Linked DNA regions of Xenopus tropicalis. The protein of the gene in region 1 purifies or fractionates together with the protein of each later gene. This does not show direct contact. Links are inferred from orthologs where the notes say so. Each region holds a gene or a part of one and is shown in the gene's direction. Other genes may lie near its edges.

Region 1 (10,672 bases):
CTGCCCCCCATACTCACTGTAACTGCCCCCCATACTCACTGTTACTGCCCCCCATACTCACTGTAACTGCCCCCCATACTCACTGTAACTGCCCCCCATACTCACTGTTACTGCCCTTTTTATACAAGACAGCACTTTATTTGCTTTAGTAGCCACAGAATGACACTGCCTGGAATTAGGCAACTTGTTATCTACAAAAACCCCTAGATCCTTCTCCATTAAGGATGCCCCCAACACACTACCATTCAGTAGATAGTTTGCGTTTATATTATTTCTACCAAAGGGCAGAACTTTGCACTTATCAACATTGAACCTCATTTTCCAGTTTGCTGCCCAGTTTTCCAATTTAGTCAAATCACTCTGCAAAGCGGCACATCCTGCATGGAACTTATAGTTTGGCACAATTTTGTGTCATCAGCAGAAATAGAAACAGTACTGTCTATGCCCCCCTCCAGGTCATTAATAAACAAGTTAAAAAGCAAAGGCCCAAGGACTGACCCCTGCAGTACCCACTAACCACACTGGCCCAATTAGAAAATGTTCCATTTACCACCACTCTTTGTACTCTATCCTTCAGCCAGTTCTCTATCCAATTACAGATATTATGTTCTAGGCCAATATTCCTCAATTTGATCATTAACCTTCTGTGAGGTACTGTATCAAACGCTTTAGCAAAGTCTAAGCAAATCACATCCACTGCCATTCCAGAGTCTAGGTTTCTGCTCACCTCCTCATTAAAGGCAGATAAATTAGTTTACCCTGCTCCATCTTCTCAGCCCCTCTTGCTTACTGCCATGTACTCATGTTTCTCTCTCCCTCACAGGCTTTGAAGCAGCAACAGCAAAGGAAGAAGCAGCAGCAGAGGGTGGGAATGCCAGTCCCTGCCAGCCAGCGCCTCCTGCTGACTACAGTGAAGACTGCAAACAATGTTGCCCCTGCCAAGCCAACCCCAACCCACAGTATGTTGCCTATACATCTATCCTACATCACTAGCTCCTCCCCTTGTCGCCGATAGGCTGTTCAGCAGTGTATGGACCATTCACATACAGAGTGTGGCACTTAATCACAGACCCATAATCACAGAAATGTTGTTCGACAGCTCTCCTGTTTGGAGGTTCAGCAGCTATTTGGTTGCTAGGGTCCAAATTACCTTAGCAACCAGGGTGTGTTTTGAATGAGAGACTGGTATATGAATAGGGGAGGGGCTGAATAGAAAAATAAATACTAAAAAGTAACAATAACAGTAAAACTGGAGCCTCACAGAGCGATAGTTTCTAGCTGCCGGGGTCAGTGACCCCCCGTTTAAAAGCTGCAAAGAGAAGAAGAAGGCAAATACTTCAAAAACTATAATGAATAAATAATGAAGTCCAATTGAAAAGTTGCTTATAACTGGCCATTCTATATCATACTGAAAGGTGAACCCCCCTATAATCCTGTGTACGTCCTGCCCCAGGCTCATCTTGCCAGTTTGCATGGCACCCGTGCCTACGTAATGTTATACCACGAGGGGTTGTGCCATTATTCAGCCCTGAGGGTATAAAAGAGCCATGATTGCCCCGTGCCACTCACAGTGACCCCCCCTTCTGTTCCTTGTGTGCAGCATGGGAAGCCAAACAGCCAGAGGGCCAAGCAAGCAATGCCCACATCTCTGCGCCATCCGGCACCTCCCTGGCATCTCTACATGGACTGGGGAAGAAGGCATTGCCGAGATCAGACCGGCTGCAAGCCAGTAAGCACCGCTGTAACTGCCCCTGCCAACCAATCATATTGACAGACCTTAGTGCCAACTGTGGGTCACCTGTACCTGCAAATGTAGCCAGAAAGCTGAGCCCTGCTGCGCCATACATGCTGTGGGCAGTGCCTGACTGCCGGAGGGGGTTCTGCTTCACTAATGTGGGTGCTCTGGGCAGTATATATGGGTGGTATAGTGGCACTGTTGTGGGTGCTCTGGGCAATATATATGGGTGGTAGAGTGGTACTGCTGTGGGTGCTCTGGGCACTGTGTGAGGGGAGTATTGTGCCACAGTCACAGGGTATGACATTTACTCTTTACACTCACGTGCAGGACATATAAAAAGAACAAAATGCGCAGAGATCGACGTAGAGACACCGGACTCCATCTTGGTCAATACCAACCTACGGGCACTGATAAACAAACACACCTTCTCACTCCTGCCCGGGGACTGTCAGCAACGGCTCCTCCTCCTGCTGCCTGAAGTGGACCGACCAGTGAGTACCATCATGCAGTAACGTGGGTTGGGCGTCCCCATACCAGGGGGCAGGTAGTGTATCAGCCACCCCTTTTACATATGGCTTAAAGGAGTAGTTCAGTGTAAAAATGAAACTGGGTACAATAAAAAATATTTATATATATATAGTTAGTTAGGCAAAAATGTAATTTATAAAGGTTGGAGTGAGCAGATGTCTAACATAATAGCCAGAACACTATTGACTACTACTAACTATATTACAAATATGCACAGTCTGTCTATTTTACCCAGTTTCATTTTTACACCGAACTGTTCCTTTAAGGGGGAGTGTCCTTTGTAGAGAAGGCCCGTTTTGTTGTAGTAGAGACGGGGCTTTGCATATGATGTGAGTTGTCGTTCCAGACTGGTCCCGACGGCCTGATGAAGCTCAACAGTTCCGCCCTAAACAACGAGTTCTTTACCTCGGCGTCCCAGAGCTGGAAGGAGCGGCTCTCAGAAGGTGAGAGGATGGGGATCATGAACATCGGAATCCTAGAGGGGCCTCTGGCTGGGTTTAACCCCCTATATTCTTGATACTGGGCTGTTGTATATATTGTATATAACACCCAGACGTGCCGTTTCATTGGCGGATGCCTCTAATCTGTCTCAAACAGCCATAGCCATTGGTACAATGCATCAGCACAACACGGGCCAGTATATTTCATATGGCAGAGAACCTGACCAATAAAGAGTGAGGAATATGATTCTTTCTGTCCCATCCAGGGGAATTCACCCCAGAGATGCAGCTTCGTATCCGCCAGGAAATTGAGAAAGAGAAGAAGGTGGAGTCGTGGAAGGAGCGCTTCTATGAGAGTTACTATGGGGAGAAGTGAGTGGGACATTCCCATCCATTTTGTATCTTCTTTATTCACAAATCAGCACTGAACTGGGCAGAACTAAGAATCATGTTCCTGCCCCATAGACTCAGTGGCTCGGGGGCAAATTGCAGGTCCAATTACAACTTATCTTTCTGTTTTATTCTCAGCTCTGGGCTAAACCCTGACGATTACAAAGAGCTGATTGCAGAGACCAACGATACTTTGGCCAGAACCCAAGTCTCCCCTCCAAAGGAACAGTGTAAGTCCGACCCGTGCCCTGAACTCCAGCCGGTTGAGGCCAAGGTTGAGACCACAGCCCAGAAGGGTATAAATGAAGGCCCACCAATAAAGAAGGAAGATGAAGGCACTGTTCATGTAAAGGCCGAATTACCAACAGCCGGTGATACCCAGCGCCCCCCCGAAGTCATGCCAGCGGATACCAAAGAGAAAGTCAGCACTGTTCCTGTGAAGACAGCAGAGGGCGCTGCAGAGGTTATAACCCCAGTTCCCAGCAAAGAGACTGGGCATAAAATATCCCCTAAGCCGGAGGAGACAGACTCAGAGAGCCAGGGTACACCAACCCCAACCCCACTAACCAGTCCTGTCCATATGCAGCCTCCCAGCACTCCCACAGCCAAGGCTGCGCCGGCTCAGGGTTCCGGGGCAGAGGGGTCGCCAGAGAAAGTGGAGCTCGCAATCGGCACACGAGTCAAGAGGAAGCTGGATGTGGGCGCCGGGGATTCGGATAATGCTGGGAAATGCATACGGATATCGGAGCAGCAAGAAATCCAGCGGCCATTTCGTGACTTGTGTAGCCCCAGTACCAAAGGGACGGCCCAGGGGTCGGAACAAAAAGTGCCCCCACTTAAGGTAAAACAGGACTGTCTGTTCCCATTCACTGCTGTTGTCTCCACTGTTAAACATAACTTCCTGGTTTGCCCACTAGTAATCATGGTCACTAGCCCATAACTACCAATCAGATGTTTGCTTTCAAAGTCTTGCCTTCGCCACACCAGTGAATGGTAACTGCTTGGATGTCAGGGGTTATTGGCCCGGGGCAATAAAATTGAAAAAATGTCTGCAATGGCCTCTGTGTATGAATCCAGGGGTACAGGAGCCCTGGGAGATTATAGTAGGGCTCATTTACAAAGAACATTGCAGGGGCAAAGTGCACAAAATGGGTGTAAACCAGTGTTTTTTCACTTTGCACCCTTCCCAGCACTCAGTCTTAGTCTTTACAAAAGCCCCTCCCAGGTTCCAAGCTGCAGGACAGAAAATGTGCAAAAAGGCAATACAGAAGGTTTACAAAGGTAAACTTCCCCTTTAAACCAGAATTCAGCCTGCACTGCTTTTATTAGTTTGGACATTTCTTGTCAATCATTTAGTGTGTCAGCTAGTGATACCATTCTGTACTGACTGTGTACTAATGAGGGTACTATTTCTGTCTCTCCTTTAGATCCCTGTCTCTTGGTTACCTACAAAGCCCTTTCCCAGCAGCCGGGTCTCTTCCAGGCCCTATTTTCCAACCACCGGCACCAGTCCCAGCAGAACAGGAGCAAGAACCTTGGCAGACATCAAAGCCAAAGCCCAGCTGGCCAGAGCCCAGAGGGCAGCAGCGGCGGCAGCAGCAACATCAGCTGGCCTCTCTGTCGGTTCATCAGTGCCAGGGCCAGGGCCTGGAGGGGGAACCGGACCTGGAGGAGGAGCCGGACCTGGAGGAGGAGCCAGACCTGGAGGAGAGGCGAGGAATCCAGCAGCTGGCACCAGTGAAACAGGACACAGGGCCGGAGTACTGGACGTGGGAAGTACTGGAAGCTGGAGAGGTGAGAGGGGAAATCCAGCCCTTCCATCATGCACCCAGACTTCCAGGGAGACCCAGAACCCACTGCAGGTATCACCTGACAGTACAGCAAGAACACAGCTACTGCAAAAATCCAGTCTACAACCCAGACACCCAATAACAGGAGCCCAGGCATCTCTAGCCTATGGCTGTCCCTTACCTGCCCGGAGCAGTGCCAGCATCAGAATGCCCAATCCGTTATCTGATAGACTGGTGGCAACATCTGGCACTGTGGCCCCTGGGGTTACAGCTATACCTCCATCAAGCACAAGCTGCTCATCACCACAGAACCTAAAAGGTATCCGGGCCAACCTAGCTGCTCAAATCAGACCTAGAATTTCTTTAGGCACTCAGACAATCCCACCAAGGCCTACGGAGACAGTCCCACCAAAGCCTGCCGAGACAATCCCACCAAAGCCTGCCGAGACAATCCCACCAAAGCCTGCCGAGACAATCCCACCAAGGCCTGCCGAGACAATCCCACCAAGGCCTGCCGAGACAATCCCACCAAGGCCTGCCGAGACAATCCCACCAAGGCCTGCCGAGACAATCCCACCAAGGCCTGCCGAGACAATCCCACCAAGGCCTGCCGAGACAATCCCACCAAGGCCAGCTGAGACAATCCCACCAAGGCCAGCTGAGACAATCCCACCAAGGCCTGTCGACACAATCCCACCAAGGCCTGTCCTGTCTCAGGCAGTAACTTCTAACCTTTCCACACCAGCCAAAGCTCAGGCACCCAGTCAGCCAGCAGGTCCCATTCCAAGCACTCAGAGGGTGCCCATAAGGACGGGCTCTAGCATACCCGCCAATAACCCTCTGGTTACCCAACTCCTGCAGGGCAAGAGTGTCCCCATGGAGCAGATAATGCCCAGACCTCTCAACAAGATGGAAGTAAAGACCATTCCTATAGGTTCTGGTCAGAAGGAGAGGGTAACTAACACAGCTGGAGTTAGTGCCCCTGCAGGGGGCATCATGGTAAGTAGAGAAGATTCAGAAAAGCCCTCACACATGGCTGTCCAACAGCTGGAAAGGTTTCTTAGCCAAAATCGGCAGCTGCCGTCCAGCCAAAGGATCCTGCAGCTCTTCTCTGGAAGAGATCTGAGCAGTATTAGCCAATCACAGAGCCAGGAAGCAGCCAGCAGTACCGCCCAAGAGCAAACTCTCCAATCACTGATCAGAAAGGTTCAACAAGAGAAATCATTGGTCGGCCCCAATCCAGCTGAACCGAGTGAAAACACATCCGCCAGTCAGAGGTTCATGTTTGGCTTTGTGGGCCGGCGAACGTCTAAACCTGCCATGTCGGGGCACTACTTGCTAAACATCGCTACGTACGGCCGCGTTCCCGAGAGCTTCCGGCGAGCACAGGCTGTAAGTCCTGAGCGGGGCATCAACCTGAGTGACCCAGAGAGGTCTCAACCCAGAGACGATGAAACAGAATCCGTTACTGAGAGCGAAGAAGAAGAAAACAGTGAGAACAATCCAGAGGATAGTGAATATGCCCCCCGATATCTCCCCATAGCCGTAAGTCACCCCACCACACTCAGGACTGCAAAACTCGAGGCCCCCATGTTAGATCTGAAAGAAACGGTCCAGGCTTTATCAAGGGGGGACATTTATGATGAGTCCCACATAGCCAGAGACTTTATCCAGGCCGCCCAGGCCAAGATGGTGAATGTATTGGGCATAAAGCTGAAAGGTGATGCTTCTGAGCTGTTCAGGGCGAGCAAGTCCCACGAGGGCTCCCAGCCGCCCCATTCTGAGCAGATACACACGGGCGGGCCCGCCAGCCTCATCGGATCCAGTTACGGAGGAACCATCAATATCACCACTTCGCCCGAGGGAATGCAGGGGCCCTCCATCCCTACAGGGGGCCATCTCACACCCACCAGCGCTGACAATCTGGTCTCCTTCTCTGTCACCGTCACAACCATCCCATCCAGCCACATCGTAGACTCAAGTGATCACGACCAACCCGTTTCTGTCCAGGCCTTCACCGAGGACCCCGGCAGGGACACGGCCCCTTCCAAATGCTACTGTCGACTGAAAGCCATGATCATTTGTAAAGGCTGTGGCGCCTTCTGCCACGACGACTGCATTGGGCCCTCGAAACTCTGCGTCTCCTGCCTGGTGGTGCGGTGACGGCAAACCCACGGCTACGATCTCATTGGCCGAGAAGGAAGGACACAGAGGGTACTCTAATGGATCAACAATGTTGACACGTTTGCACTTATGAAATCCTGTATATAATATATATATATATATATGTGAGTGTGAGTGTGGGGTCCGAATAGGCCTATTTTGTAGATTTATAGGAATACTGCCCAAAGAATATGTCCCCCAAATGCACAGCAATACCCCCTAGCGTCCTGCCCTTAGACTCCTCTTGTCTGACCTGCAGGAACAGCGTGCACTAAAGGGGGGCTGGGGGGGTCTCTGGTCAAGCAATAATTTTATATTGTCCGTTCCATTGGGAGTTCACTGTCTTGTTGTCTGTCCTTCTGCCCCATTGCCCCAGGGTTGTTTTTATTTGTAGGAGCAGATGTAGGAAGATAAAGCGTTTTTAAAGACTGAATTATGAGCACTTACTGTGGGGGTGGTGGATCCCTGGGGGGGGGCACAGATCCACTTTCTGGCTGTAGCAACACTCCTCTTCATTTAGGGACTGGGGATTGGGATCAGATTCCAAACAATCTTAGGGGTGTATTTATTAAAATGGGAGACAAACATCACCCGTGATTTGTCTCTGTCTTCAATTTTAATAAATACACAATCACTTTCTATGAGAAAATCATCAATAGATCCTAATGTTATTGGGCATCACTGTGATTTTATCTTGTGTCTTCTCCCTTATTACTGACCCCAATTCCTTTATTTAGTGCTGTAGGGAAAAGCACATTGGGCATTCAGCAATCTAACTGTCCTGGGCTGACCCGGGGTAACTGCCAGGAAGCAATTGCCCCTTCTTGAGGCACATTGAAACCACTGACAGATGGAGTTTATTCAGCTTCCTCTGAATCATCTAGAAGTTAGGTAGGAATGGGTAGCTGTGATGTTTGGAGTTATAGTTCAGCAGCAGCTGTGGGACACGCCCACAGAACTGTTTGCACCTCCCAAAGGACACGCCCCATATTTTGTAAATAAAAGGTGTTTTTAGTAATGATCGTGATTTGTAATGACAATTAGTGTTTAGCCTGATAGCAATAAAACGAACGGAAAACGGGTTTAAACGACAGGGTTTGTAAGAGAATGGGGGGCCCCCGAGAGAGCCCATTGGTTATCCATGTGAGCCACTACCAACAGGGGGGCAGAGTGATCTAACAACACTAAGTGACCTGGTTGCTATGGACTCAGAACTGCCCCGGAGTTCAGGTGCAATGGCTGAAATGTATTATTTTAAAATAAATGTCATTTTATCTCAGTTTTGTTACTTGAATGAGAGACGTTGGAGAAGTTTGGAGAGTCTGATACAAAGGGAAGGGCCCCATTCATATATTGCCGTGTGTGTGGCCCCTGCCTGGGGCCCATCTCCAGACAGAGTTGGCAGCTTATCAGCCCCTGTATGGGCCCCTCCTGATGCTCTGCCTAACCACTGTCTCGCTATAGAGCAGCCACATATCCCTCAGTCAGCTTAGTCCCTATGGGGTATGGCTCTAGAGCAGTCCAGTTCTGTGTATTTGCTGTGTGCTAGACCAGTTCAGTTCTGTGCATTCGATGGCTCTAGAACATTAGGTGTTGCTTATGTTCTCAGATAAAAGTCACGTTCTGCACCTTCGCTGAGTGGTGGAACAACTTGTGTTCTAGAGCTTAGACCTTCCTTTGTTGCCAGAAACCCAGATAAGGCTCTGTGCTGGTCCGGTCTCTTCATGGACCCCCATCTTTCAGGTGTAACCTCTCACTTATCGCCTCTTCTGATTCTCACTCATTCTAACTGACACTTAGCCCTGAGTAAATGCCATTCAGATTTAGTACCCACAGTAGGAGCCGCTGTACCGTTGCTACACAATATACTGGGTAGGGAGTGGATTTATTGCCATGGCTGCTATGTTACTTCTCATTTCCTTACAGAACCTCCCCCAGCATCCCACTGCAAAAGGGACAGAGTTACTACTCACATTTCATGGCGTTGCCCCCTCTGTGTTTTTGTGGATTCAGGGTATGAAATGGCCATAGATTGTCTGTCTGAGCTTTTCAACTTCACATTTTTTTTCAGTAGATATAATAACGCTCATTGATATTTCTCTGTCCCTGTGTTACTTAATCTGCAGCGTTGTACCTGGAGCCATCTTTAGTGGTAGTAAGTAAGGGGCAACTGTCTGATGTCTGCCCCTAGTGATCCCCACAGTCCCGAAGTTCAAGGTAAGAAGAGAGTAGCAAATCTCAATAATGCACAATAATAATAGCCTCTGGGAAGGGACTGGGGCTGTGGGATAGCAGGTATAGTAGGGAGAGATGGTACCTATAGTAGCAGTGGGGGGATAATAGCCTCTGGGAAGGGACTGGGGCTGTGGGATAGCAGGTATAGTAGGGAGAGATGGTGCCTATAGTAGCAGTGGGGGGATAATAGCCTCTGGGAAGGGACTGGGGCTGTGGGATAGCAGGTATAGTAGGGAGAGATGGTGCCTATAGTAGCAGTGGGGGGATAATAGCCTCTGGGAAGGGACTGGGGCTGTGGGATAGCAGGTATAGTAGGGAGAGATGGTGCCTATAGTAGCAGTGGGGGGATAATAGCCTCTGGGAAGGGACTGGGGCTGTGCGATAGCAGGTATAGTAGGGAGAGATGGTGCCTATAGTAGCAGTGGGGGGATAATAGCCTCTGGGAAGGGACTGGGGCTGTGGGATAGTAGGGAGAGATGGTGCCTATAGTAGCAGTGGGATAATAGCCTCTGGGAAGGGACTGGGGCTGTGGGATAGCAGGTATAGTAGGGAGAGATGGTGCCTATAGTAGCAGTGGGGGATAATAGCCTCTGGGAAGGGACTGGGGCTGTGGGATAGCAGGTATAGTAGGGAGAGATGGTGCCTATAGTAGCAGTAGGGGGGATAATAGCCTCTGGGAAGGGACTGGGGCTGTGGGATAGCAGGTATAGTAGGGAGAGATGGTGCCTATAGTAGCAGTGGGGGGGATAATAGCCTCTGGGAAGGGACTGGGGCTGTGGGATAGCAGTTATAGTAGGGAGAGATGGTGCCTATAGTAGCAGTGGGGGGGATAATAGCCTCTGGGAAGGGACTGGGGCTGTGGGATAGCAGGTATAGTAGGGAGAGATGGTGCCTATAGTAGCAGTGGGGGGATAATAGCCTCTGGGAAGGGACTGGGGCTGTGGGATAGCAGGTATAGTAGGGAGAGATGGTGCCTATAGTAGCAGTGGGGGGATAATAGCCTCTGGGAAGGGACTGGGGCTGTGGGATAGCAGGTATAGTAGGGAGAGATGGTGCCTATAGTAGCAGTGGGGGGATAATAGCCTCTGGGAAGGGACTGGGGCTGTGGGATAGCAGGTATAGTAGGGAGAGATGGTGCCTATAGTAGCAGTGGGGGGGATAATAGCCTCTGGGAAGGGACTGGGGCTGTGGGATAGCAGGTATAGTAGGGAGAGATGGTGCCAATAGTAGCAGTAGGGGGGATAATAGCCTCTGGGAAGGGACTGGGGCTGTGGGATAGCAGGTATAGTAGGGAGAGATGGTGCCTATAGTAGCAGTGGGGGGGATAATAGCCTCTGGGAAGGGACTGGGGCTGTGGGATAGCAGGTATAGTAGGGAGAGATGGTGCC
Region 2 (10,306 bases), on another chromosome or scaffold:
CAAGAAGGACGGTTCCTTCCGACCGATCCTCGATCTCAAGGGTATAAACAAATTTATCCGTTACACCAAATTCAAGATGGAATCCCTGCGATCGGTTATTGCGGCCATGGGACCGCAGGAGTTCCTCACCGCGCTGGACGTCAAGGATGCCTATCTTCACGTCCCCATTTCCCCTCGCCATCAGAGGTTCTTACGTTTTGCCTACCGCAACCTCCACTTCCAATTTACGGCTCTGCCATTCGGCCTCTCTTCCGCCCCCCGCGTCTTCACCAAGATCATGGCGGTCACTGCAGCAGTGATCAGGTCCAAGGGGGACTCAATCACCCCCTACTTGGACGACCTGCTCATAAAGGCCCCTTCCTTCCAGACAGCGGAGGAGCACCTCCGACTATCCATGGGCATCCTACAGGACTTCGGCTGGAAGATAAACCTTGCCAAATCCTCACTTCGTCCAAGCCAGGTGATGACGTTCCTTGGTCTGACCTTCGACACCAGGGCTCAGAGACTCTTCCTTCCTCCAGAGAAGGTACTTCGCATTCAGGCCCTAGTCCGGCTGCTTCTCTCATTACCTCGACCATCTCTTCGGTTCTGCATGAAGGTTCTCGGATCGATGGTGTCCTCCATCGAGGCCGTGCCGTTCGCTCAATTTCACCTCCGGCCCCTACAATGGAACATTCTCTCAGTGTGGCACAGGAACAGGAGTCTCTCCCAACAGACTCTGCTCTCCACAAAGACCAAGGTGTCCCTGCGGTGGTGGCTCAACACCACCAATCTTACACGCGGCCGCTCCCTCGCCGATCCCACCTGGCGCATCCTTACTACCGATGCCAGCCTATCCGGCTGGGGAGCAGTCCTGGAGGGACGGATAGCCCAGGGCTCCTGGTCCCATTCGGAATCGCTGCTCCCCATCAATATTCTCGAGCTTCGGGCCATCCGCCTCGCTCTGGTCCACTGGCAGACTCTCCTCGAGGGCCAGCCGATCCGCATTCAAACGGACAACGCCACCGCAGTGGCCTATATCAACCACCAGGGCGGGACAAGGAGCCATCAAGCCTTCACGGAGACCAGCCACATCCTCAGATGGGCAGAACTTCACCACTCCCTCCTCTCGGCCGTCTACATCCCCGGCGTGGACAACTGGGAGGCCGACTACCTCAGCCGGCAGACGATGGACCCGGGGGAGTGGTCCCTCAAGACCAGCGTATTTCAGACACTCACACAGAGGTGGGGCACACCAGAGGTGGACCTGATGGCATCTCGAATCAACCACAAGCTACCTCGATACCTAGCACGCTCGAGGGATCCTCGGGCAGAGGCATCGGATGCCATGACAACACCATGGTCCTTCAGCCTGGCTTACATTTTTCCCCCGTTGCCCATGCTTCCGCGTGTCATCAAAAAGATCAAACAGGAAGGAGTGAGGACCATCCTCGTCGCCCCCTACTGGCCGCGCCGGACCTGGTTCTCAGACCTCCTGTCTCTGTCTCAAGAAGAACCGTGGCATCTACCGCAGGATCCGGACCTTCTTTCCCAGGGTCCCTTCCTCCACCCAAACCCAAGGTCTCTGCATTTGACGGCGTGGCTACTGAATCCCTGATCCTTCGGAGAAAAGGGTTCTCAGAACCCGTTATCAAAACTCTTCTAGCAGCGCGGAAGCCTGTATCCGCTCAAGCCTACCACAGGGTCTGGAGAATCTACCGGGACTGGTGCTCCCAGGAAAACGTCTCCTACCAGACTATCTCTATTCCAGCCATTCTGAGTTTCCTTCAGGCCGGCCTCGACAAGGGCCTAGCCCTGGGTTCCCTCAAGGCACAAATATCGGCACTCTCGGTTCTCTTTCAGGAGCGCCTCGCCCTCCTACCGGACATCAGGACCTTCATGCAGGGCGTCACACACATCAGACCCCCCTTTCGGTATCCATGTGCCCCCTGGGACCTTAACCTAGTCCTAAGGGCACTACAAGAGCCCCCCTTCGAGCCCCTCGCCACCATTCCTCTTATCTGGCTCACCCGCAAGGTGGTCTTCCTTCTGGCCATCTCATCAGCCCGACGCGTGTCCGAGCTGAACGCGCTCTCCTGCAAGTCCCCCTTTCTCATCTTCCACCTGGACAAGGCGGTACTGCGTACTATACCGTCCTTTCTTCCCAAGGTGGTGACCAAGTTTCACATCAACCAGGAACTCACCATTCCTTCCTTCTGCCCCAATCCCAAATCGCCGAAGGAAGTCGCTCTCCACTCATTGGACGCAGTACGTGCTCTCAAATTTTACGTTCACCGCACGGTGGAAATCCGCAAGTCTGATGCCCTCCTGGTCAGTCCCACGGGCACCCGTCTCGGGCAACCTGTCTCTAAGTCCACCATCTCCCGGTGGCTCAGAGAGACCATTCGGAGAGCATACATTTCCAAGGGAAAACAGGCCCCTCAATCGATCAGGGCCCATTCCACCAGATCTGTCAGTACCTCTTGGGCGTTCAGAAACCAGGCCTCAGCTGAGCAGCTGTGCAAGGCTGCCACGTGGACCTCCATCCATTCCTTCGTTAAGTTCTACAAATTTGACGCATTTGCTGCATCTGACGCACGCTTTGGACGCAAGGTGCTGCAAGCAGCGGCAGTCTAACTCCGACTCCGCTTCCTGCCCACCGCTCATTATGCTCAGGGGACTGCTTTGGTATGTCCCCACTGTCCCTGTGTCCCCCAAGCTATTGTGTGAGAAAAGGAGATTTTGTGATACTCACCGTTAAATCTCTTTCTCCTCAATGGCTTGGGGGACACAGGGCTCCCCTCCCCGGAAGCGGAATCCTCTTTGCGCCATCTGCCATGTTTTTATGTTACATTGTTATAACGGTTTGTTTATGGTTACTTTGGTTACCTCTTTGTTAGACAAAACTGAGCCTCTCTGGGCTGCGCTGTGGGGTATAGCTGAAGGGGAGGAGCATTCCTTTTTTTTATTAATTCCTACCTAGTGTCCTGCCTCCTGCAGGTGGAGCTATACCCACTGTCCCTGTGTCCCCCAAGCCATTGAGGAGAAAGAGATTTAACGGTGAGTATCACAAAATCTCCTTTTTTATTTTTTTAGTAGTTGTTTGTAAAGTATGGAAGGCATTTCTAAGAATACGACTACTACTAAAAAAATAAAACGTTTTTTAATTTTTTTAGTAGTAGTCGTATTCTTAGAAATGCCTTCCATACTTTACAAACAGTCTTTAATCAACTAAACTAAATCTTGTTTCCCCAGAAAAAAGCTGTCATAGACTTTAAATCCAATGGCCATATTTATGACAATAGAATCGTACTCAATGGAATTGATCTGAAAGCTTTCCTGGAATCTTTACCTGATGTGAAAATTGTAAAGGTGAGAGTTAACTTTAGATTTTTATCAAGCACCATTCTTTGCTTTTATGGAAAAACTATTTTAATTGCATTTAATGTACTTTACCATGTTGAGGAAGTCCAAATGTAAATCCTGATGTGTGAAATGTTCTGTAAGGTCTGTATTGCCTTCTATTGATTATGTCCTTACCTTGCCTTTTAAGTGAATATAGCCATATTATGATAGCGGGGGAGGTAGTGGTCAGGTATGGCATAAAAACAGTAGTTGTGGGTACCAAGAGATTGTATAAACTAGAATGTTTATAATATGACCCTAATTCAAAAGTTTGACATTTAGCTGCCCATAGTATAGGATATTGCTATTTTTGAGGTATAGTTGTTTTCTTTGCCTCCTTGCTTTCTTAAAAAAAAATTTTTTTCCCCCCTTCCAAAAGATGAAAGGCCCAGACAGCGGAGATAATGTTGACAATAACTCTGCACTAAACATGCCAGTGATTCCTATGAGCAGCATAGCAGAAGCTGTGATTGAAATGATAAATCGGGGGCAAATTCAGATAACAATAAATGGATTCAACATCAGCAATGGTCTTGCAACAACCCAGGTAAATTTAACAAAGTGATGTGGAATGTAATATAAATGATGGCTAAATATATAGTATAAGTATAATGTTCTTACCTATAAGTGTGGATCTGCTTCAAAAAGAAGCAAGCCTGGAATTTGAGTCATTGTATAGCTTATTCTGATTATGAACACCACTCCGTGTGTTTACAACTTGGACTATTGGTGTTCATTTAATTGTTAAAGTGTTCCCAGTGAAGGCTGAGGCTGACTGCTGTCAGAGTGGGGTTCTGATTTGTTGAACCGGAAGTTACTTTACTTATTATTTTCTAATTAAAACAATAGGCAAAAAATGTTGAAAAAGATGGCATAACAAAGTGATTTGAATATTTTAGATAAATAACAAAGCGGCGACAGGTGAAGAAGTGCCTCGTACCATCATTGTCACCACACGCTCACAGTATGGACTCCCTGAGGATGCGGTTGTGTACTGCAACTTTAACCAGCTTTACAAGATTGACCCTTCCACATTACAGATGTGGGCAAATGTAAGTATATTGTGTTATACAACTGCCATCAATTAAGGTTCTGTTTTATACCTTTTGGTTAGTGAAAGGCACAGCTAGGGGAAAATAACAGCATTTTTGGCCAAACCCTTGTGTGTAGGTTGTCTAGTGTATGTATCGGGTAAATGTAGCCTCAAAGAGCAATTGTTTTTTGACCACAAGGGTCAGCAACACCCACACCCTGTGGATTTACTTAATGCCAAATATATGTACTATGTTGGATCACATTTTGATCAAACTTGCTATACAGGAAGAGCAGATTCTATCTAGATGTGTTGCTGATAGCTTGCCATACCTTACAGTGATACATCATTATCATGTTTTCTCAGTAAATGGTGACAGGGATGTCATGTGACACTTTATCTAAACACAGTCAACTATTTCTTATCCTTATGCACTGCTTAACATCTTCCATTTGAAACTTTTTGTTTGTCCTAGATTTTAAAGCGTGTCCCAAACAGTGTTCTGTGGCTATTAAGATTCCCAGCAGTTGGGGAGCCAAATATCCAGCAGTACGCACAGAATATGGGCCTTCCCCAGTCCCGGATCATTTTCTCTCCAGTTGCTCCTAAGGAAGAACATGTGCGCAGAGGACAGTTGGCTGATGTTTGCTTAGATACACCTCTCTGCAATGGGCACACCACTGGCATGGATGTGCTCTGGGCAGGAACACCCATGGTCACCATGCCAGGTAAAGAGTCTGCAGAAAGTTTCTTTATGCAACAAAAATTAGTATTGTTTTAGGTAATTTAAGTTTTGGTGTGACAGATATTTAATTGTAGCTGTTAGTTATATGTCTCAAGAAGTCTATGAAGATTTTCATTCATCCAGGTCATGGTATATCTAGTATAAATAAATTTGAAGCAACTGGACTTGTTTGGTAATCATTGAAGACGTTTCACTACTCATCCGAGCAGCTTCTTCAGTTCAAGAAGTAAACATGCAGTTGGTGTTAAGCCAGTTAAATTGTATCTGCTGCAACCAGCATTCATACGCATACTGCAGTTCTGTGGTACCCAACTTCATATATACATGCTTATTGACCATTTTAATTATGAAACTTGTATGGTTTTTATATTTCAGTTTTAGCCTTATACATGACTGTGTTTCTAAGTTCCTCCTGGTTCTTGTTAGATTACAATTGCCTGTATACTGTATACTCCCTGCATAATAGGATTCTGCCCGTGTGGAAGCCAGCAAAGGATTTGGCTGTTTATATTATTTCATGTTAAACTAACTCAGTTTATTGCGCGAGAGGTGACCTGTTGCTTTATAATAATAAATTAGTAATGAAAAGATTAGACAGAATGTATTTTCCTCTGAAAGGGCATCTATTGCCTAAAATATTTTCTTTTCCCACCAGTGGTGCAGGTTAACAGAGCATGTGCTCCAGAAACAAAAGGATTTTTGAATGGGTGCTCTGACTCCTACACCGGAAGGAAGCTTGCGGTGGGGGTGACCAAGTTGGGGCACATACATGCACCCCAGTTTACTTGTTATGCCCCCCCTCCCCATCACATGCATAATAAATGAGCTGGGGCATTTACTTTATTTTAAACATGCACGTTCCCCCAGCATGCACCTGGGTCTGCACCCAGAGCTGGGCCCAAAGCTCTCTGTATGTGAGATTAAATAGAAAAATACTATATCCCTCATCTGTAGTAAGGGCTGTGCTTTAAATCTAGGTATAATAACCAGGGCTGTGGAGTCGGAGGCAATTTTGGGTACCTGGAGTCGGAGTCGGCAAAAAATGAACCGACTCTGACTCCCACTAAATTTAAATGGGAATAAAAAAAAAAATAAAGCAAGTTTAAATGTCCCAATTCACAAACAGTCATAATTAATGACTTCTCTGCTATAAGAATAAAGCCCACGTGAGTGACCATAAAGCTTTTCATTGACTGTATGAATGTATAAATACATTAGCATATTAAAAACAGAGGAGTCGGAAGTATCAAACTGAGGAGTCGGAGAATTTATCTACCGACTCCACAGCCCTGATAATAACTGTCAGCCCCACTTGGAAACCGTTACTGGGGAAAAAAATGTGTGTTTTGTTTTTTTTTTTTGTTTTGGTTTTTTTTTCCGAATATGTGATGTCAGTAACTTGAATTATACTCTGTATGGTAACATCTCTTGGTTTTCCTTGATTACATGTGTATGCAGATTTGATGGTATGGCTAACATTTACTGCATTTCCCTGTCTGTAGGCGATACACTTGCATCACGAGTGGCTGCTTCACAGCTTACATGTCTCGGCTGCCCCGAGCTAATCGCTAAAGGCAGGCAAGATTATGAGGACACTGCTGTGAAACTCGGAACTGATCTGGAATAGTAAGTTAAAAGTATTATGGTATAGGATTTATTCAAAATGTAACACTGCAAATCAAGGAAGGAGGAACATAATTCCTCCTGTCTGTTACACAAGTCTGAAAACAAAAGAAAAATCAGGCTAAAAGGTATGGGAAAGAAATACGCTCAGTGACAGCAGGGGAAACCATACCATTCATGGTTGTCTTTCATGGGCCCCCTGGTTACATGCCCAGAAATGGGCAGGTTAGTGCTTCCTGCTTTATGTATGTAAGGCTGGATTGCAGCATACACTTAACCAGCCATATTTCTGTTTTCAAAGTAGACAATTCTTTTTTCCTCATCACGTCCCTCGGCAGCAGAGGTAGAGGGTTAAAGGGGTTGTACACTTTTAAAGGACAAGGAAAGGCAAAGTCACTTGGGGGTTCCAGAATGTTAGGCACCCCCTAGTGACTTTAATCTCTTACCTTGTTAGGAGAAAACAGCACCAGCCCGGGGTACCTGTAGCAGAGCGCTTTCTCCTTCCGCCTTTGTTTTGGAAGGACTAAATGACAGGCGCATGCGCAGTAGAGAGAAAAGCCGACTTCTCTGTTAAAGTTCCACTATTCACTCTACTGCGCATGCGCGAGCAAGCAAAGCAGGAAGGAGGAAGCGCTCACTGCTACCCCGGGCTGGTGCTGTTCTCTCCGTACGAGGTCACCCCCAAGTGACTTAGCTTTTCCTTCTCCTTTAACTGTCAGTATGATGTTGAAAATGCTATTTTGAGACAATTTGCAGTTGGTTATTATTCTTTCTGGTTTTAAACTATTTGGCCATTCAGCAGCTGTCCAGTTTGTGCAAGCAGTCATTTTATTAATGAAATCTTATCTTTTGCAGCCTGAAAAAGATCCGCTCTAAGGTCTGGAAGCAAAGGATATCCAGCCCACTTTTCAATACCAAACAATACACAATAGATCTGGAGAGATTGTATTTACAAATGTGGGAGCATTATTCTGCTGGAAACAAAACTGATCATCTCATCAAGACTGTGGAAAGCACTGAATCTGCTTAACTCCCTGCTAGCTTTGAATCTATTGGCTAACCATGACGGGGGGCTACGACGCACACGCAAGCCGACTCGCTGTGCAACAGAATGGAATCATTGAAACACCCGCTGGTCTCTAGACTTTTAGTTTGCTTTTTTTTTGTTCTTTTGCTAAACCTCCATCAGATTTTGCAAGTTGCCATCCAAATATGACTTCATGGGCAGTTTTACTGGTTCATGTACATTTTTAGCCTTGTATTGCAGTATATTTGGAATTTGAGCTTTTAAACCTATAAATTTGTGTTTGTCTGCTGGCTCAAAAATCGCAGCTTGACTCTCCTAGCTAACTGTGCAGGTTTAAAGATAAAAAAAAAAACCCAAGCATCATTAATGGTGTTCTAGTCCTTTTTTATAGGTTTTATAAACCACTTGTAGCCTTTTAATGTCTGGCATCTGTTTACAAGCAAACTGGTCTGTGTGTTCTTTTGGTATAGATGAGATGTCTTTAACCCTCCCCCTTAAATTGTCTGCTTTATTTGAATTTCCTACTAGCTTATTAATCTGTGTGTTTAGTACAGTGCGCTACGGGCAGCGGCTTCCTCTGGGCCGCAGGTCTGTGTAAATACGGGAGGTTAGCGTGTGCAGTTTGTGTATGAAGAAATAAAGCAGGTTTTTCTGTGTATGTACCTTTAAATCTTGCACGGAGGCCACTTCCTGAAATGTTTCACTGGTGGAATGTTGGGAAATAATGAAACTCGGGCCTATTCATTTGTGCTGATCTCGTGTGGATGTGAAATGCATTTGTTTGTGTGAAAGAGAAAGCATGTGCTGCCATTCTGTAGGAAGGAAAATGCCTCGGCACAATGCCTATTTGGTTTAATAAAATATCAGTTGATCTTGTGGGTTTTTTGTTTTTTAAAAGAAATTGTTGGATATTGCTCTGTTTCAGATGTATGGATTTGAGTTTTCTTCCCTCAGTAAACTTTTCAAGTGGAAAATTCAATGTTTCTTGTGTTTATTTTTTTTGGTTTTTTTTTAATCGGTGATAAAAATGTCTATTGTGGCACAACTGTTGTCTTGGCATCACCTGCTCAGTATATAATTAGGACATAAAGACTTTCTGTATATAAAGCTTTAAGCATAACCGGTACTATTTGTCCATATATTGCAATATACTTCAAGCTGACCAGCTATGTCAAAGTATGTATCTTCTATCGTATCAAACATACATGTAACTGAAAACAACCAATACATTTCTTATAACACAAAAAGGCAAACCAAGTGGCACAACCACATAACAGCCAGACCAACAACTCTCCATCTTTGTATTCTGGGTTATAATAAACCTTTAGTAGGAACCTAAACTAGTATGAACCTACTCCCCAGTAACAAGCTGTGCATGTGATCTCTAGCATAGATGCATCTTCTGCTGCCTGATGAGGCAGTACTACAAGGTAATTTGATACACAGAACATGTATTTAAAAAAGGGCAGCCTCATCCTGGCTGGAGACTTTCATCTCACCATTAATCCATCTGCAGACACAAGGCCGGGTGTGACAAAGGCTCTCCCCACAGTTCCCCACCCTCTGGAAGGAACATGGAACGTATATAATATGACTGATAGATATATTACTTTAGTGTGAAAAGAAGGGTTGGGCAAGTACGTATTATCTAAACAAAAATGCACAGAATTCACCCTCCTTATGTGGCCCCCATACTCGGCTAAAGGGAATTCCTTCTGATTTGTGATGCACAGGTAACTATTTTCTAGGTGTTAAATTCCTTCCTCTATAAAATATATGGGTGTTCATATTGTGGGTTTAGCATCAACCAGATGGAAAAATTCAGGCAGGGCACAAAGCCGTTAAAGGGTGGTTCCTTTTAGTATGCCATAGCAAGGCCAAATCTAAGCAACTTCTCAACTGGTCATGATTTTTTTTTTTTTATAGTTATTTTATTATAAGACAGAGGGTGCTTAGTGAGACCCATGGCCCCTCTACCCATAGCTTGAAATCCACGTTCCAAGCAACCCATTGCCCCCATCTCCCCCCCCCCCACGTTCTCTATCCGTCTACCATTTTTACATCTAGTGCTGAGAAAGGGGGTGGCAAAATCGGCAAATAATAGTTGCACAGAGCTGCGGCCCTTAGTTACACCACTGCCTGTAGCCAATGACTAGATGCTAAGTTACTGGCAGGTGATTGGCAGGAAATTCATTTAATGGCAAAACCAAAAAGCTGCCTACATGGTTGTGTAACTAGGGGCTGTGTAAGCAGAGAGTGTAAATAATACAAATATGTTGCACTATGAATACATGCTTTCAAAAAAAAAAAAAAAAAAAAGGGTTTATCTGCCAAGCACGTATGCTGTACTTTGTTTGGCAGATAAAGATCACGTGCCACCTCTGCACAGAGTTTGGAGCAATGATAGCCCCCTGGGCAACGAGCCAGTCATGTCAGTGTGACTATTGGATTAGATATTCTGACCTCTAGTTACCCTGTCGTGTTATTACCCTGT

Evidence for each region. The genes of interacting proteins can lie anywhere in the genome.
Region 2: the proteins of asxl2 (region 1) and ogt purify together in Homo sapiens (affinity purification with mass spectrometry; 3 studies listed by BioGRID and IntAct, with this or other methods). This does not show direct contact. The link is inferred for Xenopus tropicalis from reciprocal best matches to the Homo sapiens genes ASXL2 and OGT.

Annotation. Positions count from the first base shown.
Region 1 is NC_030681.2:154,174,412-154,185,083, reverse strand, and holds the end of asxl2 (putative Polycomb group protein ASXL2), read left to right. Parts: intron 1-823; coding exon 824-959; intron 960-1,600; coding exon 1,601-1,729; intron 1,730-2,065; coding exon 2,066-2,229; intron 2,230-2,612; coding exon 2,613-2,709; intron 2,710-2,972; coding exon 2,973-3,078; intron 3,079-3,234; coding exon 3,235-3,937; intron 3,938-4,523; coding exon 4,524-7,049; 3' UTR 7,050-8,955; downstream 8,956-10,672.
Region 2 is NC_030684.2:44,056,902-44,067,207, reverse strand, and holds the end of ogt (UDP-N-acetylglucosamine--peptide N-acetylglucosaminyltransferase 110 kDa subunit), read left to right. Parts: intron 1-3,234; coding exon 3,235-3,351; intron 3,352-3,763; coding exon 3,764-3,931; intron 3,932-4,283; coding exon 4,284-4,436; intron 4,437-4,892; coding exon 4,893-5,145; intron 5,146-6,664; coding exon 6,665-6,788; intron 6,789-7,640; coding exon 7,641-7,815; 3' UTR 7,816-8,786; downstream 8,787-10,306. UniProt on the Homo sapiens protein: Catalyzes the transfer of a single N-acetylglucosamine from UDP-GlcNAc to a serine or threonine residue in cytoplasmic and nuclear proteins resulting in their modification with a beta-linked N-acetylglucosamine (O-GlcNAc).